2 linked regions of the Caenorhabditis elegans genome follow. The protein of the gene in region 1 purifies or fractionates together with the protein of each later gene. This does not show direct contact. Each region holds a gene or a part of one and is shown on either strand. Other genes may lie near its edges.

The links.
Region 2: the proteins of capg-1 (region 1) and dpy-28 purify together in Caenorhabditis elegans (affinity purification with western blotting; one study listed by BioGRID). This does not show direct contact.

Annotation. Positions count from the first base shown.
Region 1 is NC_003279.8:7,633,822-7,641,691, forward strand, and holds capg-1 (Condensin complex subunit capg-1), read right to left. Parts: upstream 5,965-7,870; 5' UTR 5,943-5,964; coding exon 5,695-5,942; intron 5,654-5,694; coding exon 5,551-5,653; intron 5,494-5,550; coding exon 5,287-5,493; intron 5,239-5,286; coding exon 5,068-5,238; intron 5,010-5,067; coding exon 4,907-5,009; intron 4,564-4,906; coding exon 4,339-4,563; intron 4,292-4,338; coding exon 3,871-4,291; intron 3,819-3,870; coding exon 3,669-3,818; intron 3,614-3,668; coding exon 3,187-3,613; intron 3,137-3,186; coding exon 2,541-3,136; intron 2,481-2,540; coding exon 2,300-2,480; intron 1,763-2,299; coding exon 1,592-1,762; intron 1,535-1,591; coding exon 1,174-1,534; intron 1,115-1,173; coding exon 1,017-1,114; 3' UTR 671-1,016; downstream 1-670. Other genes in the region: F26A3.1 (Lipid droplet-associated hydrolase), read right to left, coding at 6,604-6,728, 6,775-6,958, 7,006-7,113, 7,159-7,394, 7,563-7,745, 7,796-7,870.
Region 2 is NC_003281.10:10,761,157-10,766,296, forward strand, and holds the start of dpy-28 (Condensin complex subunit 1), read left to right. Parts: upstream 1-1,974; 5' UTR 1,975-1,990; coding exon 1,991-2,118; intron 2,119-2,786; coding exon 2,787-3,004; intron 3,005-3,858; coding exon 3,859-4,133; intron 4,134-4,785; coding exon 4,786-5,140. Other genes in the region: tasp-1 (TASPase homolog), read left to right, coding at 307-530, 1,198-1,263, 1,446-1,650. UniProt on the Caenorhabditis elegans protein: Required for both chromosome condensation and segregation during mitosis and meiosis and X-chromosome dosage compensation depending on its binding partners.

The sequences.
Region 1 (7,870 bases):
TCTGATTCTCCACTCTGTGATACGTTTTTTTTTTCATATTTTGTACATGATTTTCCTATATTTTTCAGTTTTTTTTGTTTCAAATGTTTTTCCCAAAAAAAATTCCTCTTCTCAAAAGTGCCTTCCCCCACACATTTGCTCCCTGTAACTCAATTTTGTGCCCATTTAGATATTATTTTCACTAGAAATTTCCATATCTTTTCCCCTCCATCCCCGATCCCCGCGTGGTATTGATCACACGTGTAAGCTTCTCACTTTTTTTTTCATATTTTCACCAAAATTTCTATTAGAATCATAAATAATAATAAATTATTATAAACTTTCCGATTGTACTTGAAACAGGTATTAAAGGTGCACCAGTTTGTCACAACGGGTCTCGCAGCGAAAATTCATTTTTTAACGTATTGATATTTATTCGAAAAATTAAGAGTTTTCAGTAGAAAGTTAAATTTACATGCTCATCACTGGAGCTCCGAAATCTGTAAATATATTTATATCTGGAAAAAATCAATTTTTAATGTTTTACCTCATCCTCTTGACTAGCCACCAATTTGTATCTTCTGCACATCGAGATAATCGCCGAAATTACTAAAACAACCATCATCAGCCCCGAGATTGATGCGTAAATGAACAAGAATCGATAGTAAGTGCCATGTCCAGAAGGGTGTTCGATTGAAATCTACGAATTTATTTGATAGAATTAAGAATTTTCTGTGGAAGTTAACGAATTACAAAAGAAAACTTTACATCGAATGCCTTAGTTGCATGTAGGGTAATAATGATGATGAATATGAAGAGACCAAGTGGAGAATTTTGCATTATTGTTGGGTGGTTTGTATAGTCGAATAAATAATTTCTAGGAAATGAAATTAGAGAATTAAGAAATATGGCGGAAAAGGTAAAGTTATTTAAATTCATAAAAATTGGGAAACGTGTTCGAGGAAAAAAAGGTTAAAATGTAAGTGGTAATAAATAACGAGATCGAAAAGCACAAGTCAATTTAAATTATTAATTTCTCATTTTTCACTTCTCAGTTTACGTGCACTTCTTGGAGGTGCTGTGCGAGCTGCAACTGCAGTTGGACGGGTAGCTGTAGTTGGACGGGATGGTGGTTCTGAAAATATTCAGTCCGTTATGAAAAACCAAATACTGAAGCGATCTGTTCAAACTCACTTTTAGTATTTCTGGGTGGACTTTTCAAAATCTCCAACGCATCCTCTTCAACTAAAGGTTTCTTTTTCGTGGCAGACGCTGGAGTTGCTCGTGGAGCTCTCGGTTTTCTAACAGTAGCGGGTCTTGATGGGCCAGGCTTATCATCTTCTTCCATATTCACATCATTATCAACTGCGATATCCGTGCTGATCAAGTTCGCATTTCTTTTGTTGGTTTTGGACGGCGCTGCTTCTTTTCTTAAGTCAGTTTTGCTTGGCACTTCTTCAATTTCATCTTCGTTCAATCCGAGAATTTTCGCTATCTTTCTATGAGCCTTTCGAAGTTCGTTGTATCGATGCTTGTCACCGTCTAATTCGTGGAGCTAAAAATTGAATGTTTTCAAATTAGAATAATTTATAATTATTTGGTATATACTTACAAATATATACGATTCTAAATCTCCATGAATTTTTGTGAGAGCTGATCTACTGAGACTCTGATATTCCACGAAGTTAAGAGCACAAATATAATAATCGACAGATGTTGAATCAGGAGCTCCAGCCATTTCGTGAAATATGTCATCCACAAGGTCGACGTGTGTTGGTTTACACTGAAAATTAAATCATTCATAACTATTTATCGGTAGCACAACTGAAAATTTTTAGGTTTTCGTTTTTTTCGAGTTTTTTAAAATCGATTTTTTGTCGTTAACCTGTCGTTAACTAAAAACCTCATACAATTGTAAAAGTTTACACCTTTTTTTTCGAAAAATGGCACTAGGAATTGTGATTCCGTGTCCAAAACGCAAAAAAATCCCCAAATTTGATTTTTTTTTTGAAAATTGCACTGAAAACTGACGGAAAAAATTTCGGGATTTTTTGGTGTTTTGGACGCGGCGCACAGTGATGTCGTTTTTTTTTTAAATTGTTTTCTTTAAAAAATGTATTTTCTGGATTAGAAAATATATTTTTGCTCCAAAAAAACTGTTTAAAACTTAAAACTTTGAAAAAAGGCAGGAGGAAAAATATTCGAAATTTTTTTGTGCACAATCCTTTCAATTTTCAACAAAAAAGTTTTAGACTTGCGAGATTTTCGCTTATTTTTCGCACTAAAAATAAATTATCGGATTCAACTCTGATCGGCATACCTTCTTCTGTTCTTCCAATGGAAGCGTGGAATGACGAGTCAATGCAACAAAAGTGGCTGCACATCTTTTAAGCTTTGTAACCATTTCATGGCGATTTTCAGTCAACCGTTCGGGTGTCGTAGAGTTGGCCCACATATCGAAGAAATTGTGGAATGATTTAATGAGAAGAAGTTGATTGTTTCTGAAAATAACTTTTTAATTTTTTTCATCAGTTTCCCAGGAAATGAGAAGCCAAGCTTACTTGTTGATAGAGCAGAAGAATTTGAGCATCACAATGATCGTACTGCGAACTTTAGCGGAGAAGCGATTAGTGATCGCGTATGAAGCTCGAGTCATAAGTGTAACCATTGTACGTTGCCATTTTTGTTGATTCGGGTCAATTTTTGTATTCAAGAAGAGTCTTGAAATTGCTTCAACTGCTCTTAACATGGTTTCACATTCTCCTGAAACATGTGCATTGACAACAATATCCGATAGAAATACTGCAAAATTGGGTTGCTTTGAATTCCAGCTGAACAGAGCGTCAACTTGATCGCCATGCTCAATTTGAATATCAGTGAGCGCAGCAATTAATGAACACTGAACTGGTTCATCTTGGGTGTTAAAGCTCTTCATCATTTCACGAAGAGTATTTTCTGCTTGATCATAATCATAGATTGCACCAATACCAATACATTCAGTACAGAGAACACGAGTACTCAAATCTTTCGATGAAATACCCTCGCGAAGCTTGTTGTTGTATCTATTCTGATAGGTTGTACTCCATCCAAGTAAAATTCCAGTTTTCAATAAAGCATTCAATACTTTCAACTCGTAGAGATCAATAACTGCGATTCCCTGAAACATTTTCAAATTTTGAAAATTAAATAATCTATATAAAATCTTACATCTTTGTCTGAAATTGTTCGTCGGCCGGTTTTGCGTGTTTCCTCTTCTAAATCTTTTCGAACCTTTGTCTCTCCAACGGGTACACTATTTTCAATAACTGGAAACTGTCCACTTTTATATTTCGATCTCATTTCTTCAATTCTATCATTAAACAATGTGAACAGTGCATTCGGATCTTCTTTGTAAAATTGTGCGAGTTCTTGAACGATGAGATCAATCACTTTTTTCTGATAGAACACATTCATCAACATTGAAATTAACATTTGCTTGTATGCATCAACTCCAGGTTGATCTGTTGGTGCATGTCTCATCACACATATTATATTCTCAACAATTGACATTTGCAGAACGAAAGTGTGATCCTCGTAGTCTGCTCTTTGGCTAATGTTCGGATAAACATCCAGATTCTTGACTCGAACGAGAATTCTGAAAAATAAAATTAATTGTTACTCTTATAAAACAAATAGTAAGAAAATCATACTTTTCCACATGCTCTACCATAGTGCGCAATGGACTGACGAAACGTGACATGGCGTTTATCTTATCAGCATCATTCCGTTTTCTATCGGAAATATAATCAACAAGACATCTCCAAAAGAAGATCATGGCTCGATTGGTGCTTGGATCTTGTCTGAAAATGATAATCTTGCTGCAAAAAACCATGAATCCAGCAAGAAACTCACGTATCAGCAAGCTCGCTGTCATCTAAAATTGATCCAACAGTACTTTTAGTAATAATCGGCACCGCACTTGACTTCATTTTTTCTCTCAAATCGCTAATTAAAACCTCTGCGAATGTGTTAATCGGATCCGCTTGACAGACGTACATTTGACGAATAACATCAAGTGTATGAGTTATCAATCGTCTCAAGTTTGAGTGACCTTCCAATGTTTCAAGAGCACCCGTTAGCCATAGCAATGTAAGTGCTTGGGCCGCAAGAATATATCCTTTCATTTTATTCTCTTCTCCTGTTGTGGATTCAGAATTAGAATTCAAAATGACAACATCATTGGAATCTTTGCTCTTTTGACTTTCGCTCCATCTCGTTGACAAATTACGAACCCAATTCTTCAGAACTTCCTTTGCCGCATCTCGAATATTTACTGGAAAATTACAATTTAATATCATTAGTCATAAATTACAAACAAACCTTCATGGTCTTTCAGGCATAAATCAAGCATTTCAATTTTTTCGCGAACATGTTTGTTTGGCCTGAGGTTTGAAAACTGTTCAAGTGCTGCGACACGAACATTGAGACACTTGTCATAATAGACAATGTCTGAAAGTAGTCTAACATCTGTTTCTAATGGTACCATTGATTGAACTGCAACAAGTCGGCATTCCCATGCTGTGTCTCTACAGGAACGGAGAAGAACTGAAATTTGTAATTTAAAAAGAACAAACGCTGGTATTGTATAGTAATTTCACAACACCTTGGCATGCTAGGCGCACGGATTTCTTTATATGGGCCAAGTTTCAAAATACGTATGAATTTTTCATTTAAAATGTTTGTTTTTCCTGTGAAAAGGATTAAAAAACTGATTTTCAACAACTTTGAACAGTAAAATGCAAGGAAAAAACAATGAAGCAGCCGCAAAATTCAAAATTAAACTACCATAAATTTTTTTGTGCTTTGATCCAAAAAATATATGGTAGTTTAATTTTGAATTCTACGGCTGCTTCATTTAGTGCGCCTTTATAAAAGTTTGAAAACTTACGTTCTCTTGGTGAATGTTTCATAGCATCTACTGGCCAATTCGATGGAATTGGTATTTCTTGCAAGAATCCTAGGCCTCGAATAGCTGGAACTCTGGCGGTTTGCTGAAAAAAGTTCAATTTCAGCTTTTCAGAATTGAATCAACTTTTGAATGAAACAAACCTCCTTGTCAAGCAGTGCTCTCTTCAATTGTAAAAACATTTTAGCTGCAATCTTGACTTCAAATCCAGAATATTCACCCTCAGTTGTTAAATATCGTTTCCCTGTCTCGAATATATAACTGATGAAGCAGGTCGTGTTAATTCTCGCAGCAACATTATCACTATGTCCCCACTGAAAATAAGTTTTATTATGCGGATTTTTATTAAATTGAATACTCACAGTGTTAATAAAATTGATAATAAAATCGAGGAGATCCGATGGAAGCTTGAAAGCTTGAATTTCAGTTATTGTCACTGCGATTAATTTAAAGACACGAGCCCGATGCTCAGGAACAGTCACCTCTTCGATAATCATTGAAAGTCGGACATCTATTTCATCAAGGAAAACTTTCATTAAATCGACCTTTTTCTTACGATTCTGATCAGCCTGAAAATTGGATAATTTTTAAAATTATTTTTATTTCGATTTTTAAAATAAATTAACCTTTTTAAATGCTGCAATCAGTTTCCGCGAACTGGTATGTATTTCATCATTAATATCATCACGAGATTGAAAAACTGTTCGAATTGATTCTACGACTCTTTTTCTATAAAATACTTTAGTTTTTTTTTTCATTTTGATACTTACTTTATGAAAAGTGCTGCAGAAATACAAGCTCGATCCTCTTTTGTCATGTTTTCATTGATTCTAAGAGTGGATACACCTTCGCTCAAAACTGTATTTTCCGCATCGTTTTGATCATTGTTTAATTCTTCATTATTCAAAAAATCAGCACTTTCGTTGAATGATTCATCTGAAGCCACATCTGTACCAGTTGATTTTTCCTCACGAAGTGCTGGCAACTTCGGCCCGCGAATTCGCTTCTTCGGTGGCATGAGAGGGGTGGGTTACTGAAAATTTGAAAATTGAAATGAATTAACAAAAAGATAGACATTCAGAAAAAGAATAACACATGTCGAATTGTTAAAATATCTTGTTATTCTCTGCATTTCCACTGATAGTGAAAATACCGGGGCGACAAATGATCTGTATATGTCCCAAAAATGGAAAATTACAAAATATCTTTTTAAACATTTAAAGACTCGTGTATAAAACAGTTTCCAAAGAAACAAAAGAACGAGGTAATGACTGAAACGACTAGAGCACGCCAATCTGCTGTTTCGCTCTCTTCGATTTCAAATTTGCATTAGAGCGCACATGCTTTCGCGCCGTTTTATTTATTTTTTATTTAAAAACGGAACTTTCGGAATTGAAAAGGGGTTTTTTAATGTTTACTAAGCCTAAGTAGACTAGAATTCAGTAGAGAGCAATAAAGTTTGTTTCGTCACCACTTAATCCTGGCAGTAATAACTAGAGCTCCTGTTAAATACTTAAATAAAATCAATTAATCAATTGAAGAAATATTAACAGGTGTTAGAAACAAACACATAGAAAAGGAAAAACAATAAAATGTGCAAATATTTTTATATTTATTAAAAGATAAAATTCTAGGTAATGCAATCACAGGTTGAAGTACGGAAAACTCGGAGCAACTGATCAATCGAAATATTTTATAACATTTCTCGCCATAATGTCTCCTTCAGAAATAACAAAAGCGTGTTCACAATTGTCTTCGTCCAATGTGACCTGCTCCTCACCAAGTCTGTCCCGCATGGAGTATCCTATAAATTTTATTTTCAATCTACACAACGTTTTCAAGGTCAATACCATGCTGCACTGGACACCATCCATCCTTGAGGCCATAATAGAAATGAACCACGTCTTGTTTTTCCAAAAGACGCTCATCTAGGTCTAAAACGATATCAAGTTCATCGTTTGACATGTGAACTATATTTCTGAACACATCCATATGGACAAGCTCAACTGCCGCATCGACGATCTCTGGGGGAGTCTGAAAAATTATGTTTTTTGTTGCTTGACATTCAAAAAAAAATTTACATTAGGATGTCTCAGGTTCAATCCAACAAGAAATTTTTTGATCGAGTTTGGCAGGTAATCCACCCACCAGCAAATCGTTTTTGTGAGCCAATCATGATGGTTCAATGTCTGAAAGTTTACAATTAAAAATTAAAATAAAGAAATTGAATTTACAGCTAAAGTTCCATGTAATCGTTTCCCATTTGGTGAGTTTGCCATATGAACTATCGTTGGAAACAGTCCAACAGCTTTTTCCACGTGGAATCCTTCTTTTATCACTTCAGGAATGATTCTTAACATCATATACGAACCAATGCTATGCCCCAAAATGTACAGTTGCTTTCCACGTGGCAGGTGCTCTTTCACAAATGATAGTTTGTGATTGACTTGTTCCTCCAGAGAAATTCGGTCTGGAAATATATTATAATCGACGTAAAAACGCGCTCCGCACCGGATCCATGAGTCTCGTTAGGTATTTGAAAAAAAAACAAAAGGGCGAAAAATACTGCGAAATCGGCGAAACTAAATAAGTTAAAAGGCTGGAGTGAACGGTTCTTCGTTTTATTTGTATTTATTACCATGATTTCGATGTTCTCCATCATCTTTCAAATGATCTGGCATTCGAACATGATTGAGACTTGAAACTGTGTAGAATAAATATTGATTTTTCAAGTTTTTCTGCTCATCTTCATCTTTCTTTATCAAATTTTGCAAAACTTCTCGTCCGAAATGAGCGTAGAATCCTTCGTTTCCGGGATTTCCTGAAATTAAAATTTTCTTAAATTTTTAAAAGCGCAATTTCCCGATTTACCTGGAATCATTAAAATAATCACTCGATTCTCGTTCTCCTTTTTCTTCTGAATTTTCAGCGTTTCGTCTGAAATAT
Region 2 (5,140 bases), on another chromosome or scaffold:
GCATTTCTCCGGCAAATCACACGTATAAAAGCTATTTCGATCGAAATACGAGTTTAAAAAACCAGATTGTCAACTCCATTTTGGCAAAATTCTATAAAAATCTCGAATTTCCTCTATTTTAGCCGGTTTTGGGTCTAAATTTCTCTGAAAAAAAAAAACGGTTTTCAAATAAAAAATTACCACTTTTCAGTAAAATGCCAATTTGGTTTGCAAAAAAAAAATCGATTTTCAAAAGTTTTTCCCCCTGAATTCTATCAAAATTTCGTATTTTTCCAATTTTCGCCACGAAAAATGTCTTTTTTGCAGACAATGAACTCAGAATCCGGTACTTCAAGCGGTGGAATTGTGCTAAAACACTCGGGACGGCTTGGTCACAGCTGTGTATATGGAAGTGGAACATGGTCTGAACGAAGGCAATACGAAGAACCATTTGATCAAGTCAGTGAACGAACCATCTCGATTTGTTCGACAGGACACGGTGAATCACTTGTGAAAGCCGATTTCTGCAGGGGTATCGCCACGAGAGTGCTGTAAGTTTGGGAAATTATTGAAAATTTGGAGATTTTGCGCGCACTGGATCATTTTCCGTAGAAATAACTTAAAACTGAGCAGTTTTAGATGTAAATCAGCATGAAAATCCACAATTTTGATGATTTTTGAATCTTTTTTCGAACAATTAGCACAAAAATCTATAATTTTTGGAAATTCTGACCAGTTTTCTTTTTAAAAAAGTTGCTTAAAATTCGGGGATTTTGCGCGTTCAGGACCATTTTCTGTAGAAATTGCATAAATTGGGACGTTTTTAGCGATTACAATTTTACAAAGGCAATTTTCTCTCAAAATTAGCACAAAAATCCACAATTTCCTATCTATTTTCTGCAAAAAATAGCTCAAAATTCGAGATTTTCATATATTTGTGATCTGAAACAAACTGCAAATCCAAGTTTTTTACCGTTTTTCTTGAAAATGTAGCACAAAAATGTAATTTTTGACTGTTTCTAAACTTTTTTCTCTTAAAATCGGCAAACAATTGATAAATTAACAATTTTTAAATTATTTCCCTTACAAATAGCTTTAAAAATTGTAAAAAAAAGAAAATTTAATATTAAAAAAGATTTTACGACTAAAAAAAAAGAGATAAATCGCTGCGAGACCCTAGTTACCATAACAACAACGCATCAATTTTGTTTCTTTCAGAGACGACGAGGAGGGTATCATGTACAGTGAGATTATTCGAGAATTCATACACGAAAAAATGGAACAGTAAGTAGATTTATTATTCCATTCAGAGCAGCATATTTATATTTAAATAATTGAAAAATTGAACATCGAAAGTTCGAAAAAAATGAAATTTTTCATAAAATTTTGTATCTGTTGATGAAAAAACATAATAAAGCTTTATATATATATTTTTCGAAAAATCGAAAAATTGATTTTTTTTGCAGTGGATCCCGATACGGTGGCATCGCATTGATCGCCGACAAATTCAAAGATCGAATGTCGCTGGAATTTCTGATTTTCCATAATTGTCGATATCTTCCGGCTGCAGTTCGTTGTCGAGACAATCAGATTCGTGTTTTTGAATCACAATTCGATCCGGATCAATGTACTACTGATCCTAAATGTGTTATCGAGTCATTCATCATGTAATAATATGTATATGATATCAAGAATTCCGCGTTTAAAACTTAGAAAAATCTGGAAATTGTGTTTTTTTTTCGGAATTTTCCGGGGTTTGAATGCGGAAATATACAAAACAACTCCCCCACTCCATCCGATTTCTCTCTCAATCCTCCGCTGAAGAATATTTTATGATTTGAAATTAAAATGAAATGAAGAATTTTGTAAATATTTTAATTTTTAAACTTTTAATTGTTTTTTCTTTTATTGAATTTATTCTAGTGCTCACTTGCTCGCTTAGAAATATCACTGATTTGTTATTATTTTTTAAAAACTAATTTCCCCCTTCTACAGGCTTTTCCCCTAACAAATGCCGAGAAAACAACGCGTTGTCACTACACCGTCACCACCGACTTCAGATGAAGATGAGGATATGGATTTTGGCTCGACGAGCCAGCAACAGCAGCAGCAGCCGACACGGAATAATGATGGATTGAGGTTGAGAATTTCAGTTGGAAAATTATAGATTTTTCAGTTTTTTTTTTCGTGAGAAAAATCAGATTTCGTGCACAATTTTCACATAAAAAACTAAAAAAATCAGTTTAAAATTCGATAAAAAACTTAATTTTTTCCGATAATTTCAAAAAAAAAAATTTAATATCAAATTTCAAAAATTTCAATTAAACTCCAGATTTAGATATATTTTTCTCAATTTTTACTGAAATTTCTCTGCAAATTGCAATAATTTCGATGCTTTCTTCACTGAAAAACCCATAATTTTCATTTAATTTCATTTAAAACTAATATATAATTTTTTACAGAACCTTTTATGGAATTTTCTAGAAAAAAAAGTAAAATAAAGAATTTTTCCTGTGAAGTTTAATAAATATGCACCGTTTTCTAGAAAAAAAAGAAAAACCATGGATTTTTCCGTTTTTTTTTTTGAAATTCATTTCAAAAACCGAAAAATCAGTTTTTTTTCCATTTTTCCTCAATCAAAAATAATTTTTTTAAATTTCCACAGAAAATGCAGAAGTAAATCGGAATTTTTTAAAACAAAATATGAAAAAAAAATCACAAATTTCTTCAAATTTCTCCTGAAAAACCGAGAAAAAGGCTGTTTTTTTCCTGTCAAAAACTCTAAATTTTCAAATTTTTTTTTTCAGTGGCTTCAAAAGTATCACGGAAATCATCGCCGAAGCTGACAATAATATTCCATCCGAACAAATCGATAAGGATATCGACAGTTTCTCTTCATATTCGGATATTTCTGATTGGAGAGGAATTCCAAAGTTCTTTCCATCGTTGAGCTCACTTTCACGGCGAGCTTCTACTTATGAGAATTGGGAAAATCGATTCAAAGTCGTCGATTATCTCGTTTCTTGTGCGTTTTTTGGTGGAATTTTGGAAGTATAAAATATTGCTCTAAAACCCGATTTTGAAGAGAATTTTTTTTAATTTAAAAAACCACGAAAAAGTTCAAATTTGCTATATTTTAAGAGGAAAAAAGTGCCCAAAACTCATTGATAATTTCCTGAAAAAGCAGAAAAATCGACAGTTTTCTCAATTTTTCTCAGACCAAAAAATTGAAAAATTTTGATTAGAAAAAAAAGATTTTTCGGTTTTTTTTTGTTGGAAAAAATAAAAAATTTCAAAAAAAAAGTAAAATGTTTAAAAATTTCGAAAAAAAATTGAAAATTGAAAAACCTAGAAATTTGTACATGCATATTTAGTTGAAAAATACCTCAATTTTTAAAAAGCTTCTAGAAATTTTTTTAAAAAGTAAATTTCCTCCTGTTTTTCCTCCGATTTTCGAAAAATTCAAAAATTTTCGCTGAAAAATTGTTTTTTTTCGGAGAAAATCTTTGAAAAACTTTGATTTTTCATAGAAAACATTACTTTTATTGTTTTAGACAATTTTCTCAATTTTTCGACAGAAGAATTGAAAATTTTTGTTTCAAAAAACTATTTTTCGGTTTTTTTTGTTGGAAAAAATAATAAAAAAATCAGAAAATTCTCAAAAAATATAGGACCTTTAAAAGCGGCAATTGTCTAAAAATTTCAAAGATAAACAGTTGAAAACTGCCGGATTTGCCTGATTTTTTCCGGTCATTTTCAACTTTCAGACAATTTTTTTCGCTGTTTTTAGTTGTTCAAAGTCGAATTAAAAAAAAATAATAATTATTTTCAAATGCAGATAATATATTTTCCACTTCAAAACCCCGCAAAATTTTGCAGGTTCCGGAGCTCTAAAAGACTCTGTAAGCGACTACGTGGCCGATTATTTCGAAAAAAATGAATCTGGAGAAGATCATAGTGTCGATGTGGAATTGGTGCATGCAGTCAGTATGTTTGTAATTCTTACTCAACGATTGACTGTTCAACTTCAATTATACGTATCAAAATCGATAGCATCAGCCAATCAACAGGCGAAACGTGGTACTGGAAGAGGTGGTCGTCAAGTTGATTTAGATGATGATATTGTCAAGTGGAAGGATATTCAGAGACATCGGGTAATTATAGTTTTCCAGGAAAAATAAATTGTAAATTTATAGATTTTTTAGAAGAAAAAACATTAAAAAAAAACGCAAAAATTCATGTGTCTTCGAGAAATTTTAGGTTTTTCAGAGATAATAGAAAATCCAAAATCGAAAAAAAAAGTTTGTAAAATAAATAAAAAAATCAATTTTCTTCTTAAAAAAAAAAGAAAACTCAGATTTTTTTAACTCCCAAATTTTCGATTTTCCGATTTCATTTTGAAAAAAATCGAAAAAAAAAACAACTACTGTAATCCTTAAAGGCTCACGTCCTTTTACTATAAAATCGGTCGTGCCAAGACCCGTTTAGTGAAAATTTCGCAAAATATCGCATCTGGGAAATATAAATATATAAAATTTCGTGTTTTCTGGTCAAAGCCCCCCGAAATCTGTATAGAAAAGAGCTCTTCCATCTAAAAAATTGAGTTTTTGAAATTATTATTTAGTTTCTAGAAAAAAGCTCCAAACTCTGAATATTTCTATATTTAATGCCATAAATATTTAAAAAAAAATTTCATATAGTTTTTTCTGCTGAAAGGATTTTTTTTTGGATTTTAATATCAATATAATATAATCAGATTTGTTAATCCATTTTAAAAATATTATTTGCAAAATTTTCAAAATTCAGATGATCAACTGCCTGCTGGAATTACTTGAACTTCGTGTCGACACCGTTGCCGGAACCAAGAAAAAGGCGATTCAATACGTTTTTGCGCCGGATGTCATGGAAAAGGACTTTTTGCTTCGCTTCCTTGACACAGTTGTCCAATTGCTTGAAGATCCCGAGAATATGGCTCGTTCCAGTCAACAATGGATTTCTCATTATTTCAGAATTCTGAAAGTACTTTCTGCGGACTATGGAATGACTAAAGACGTCGCCAATTGTCTATTCACAGCACTTTCTCATTCATATTTGGAAGCTGCTAATACTTTTCCGTTTATTGAACCATTGGTCACTTTGATGAAAGAGAATGGAGAAGGAT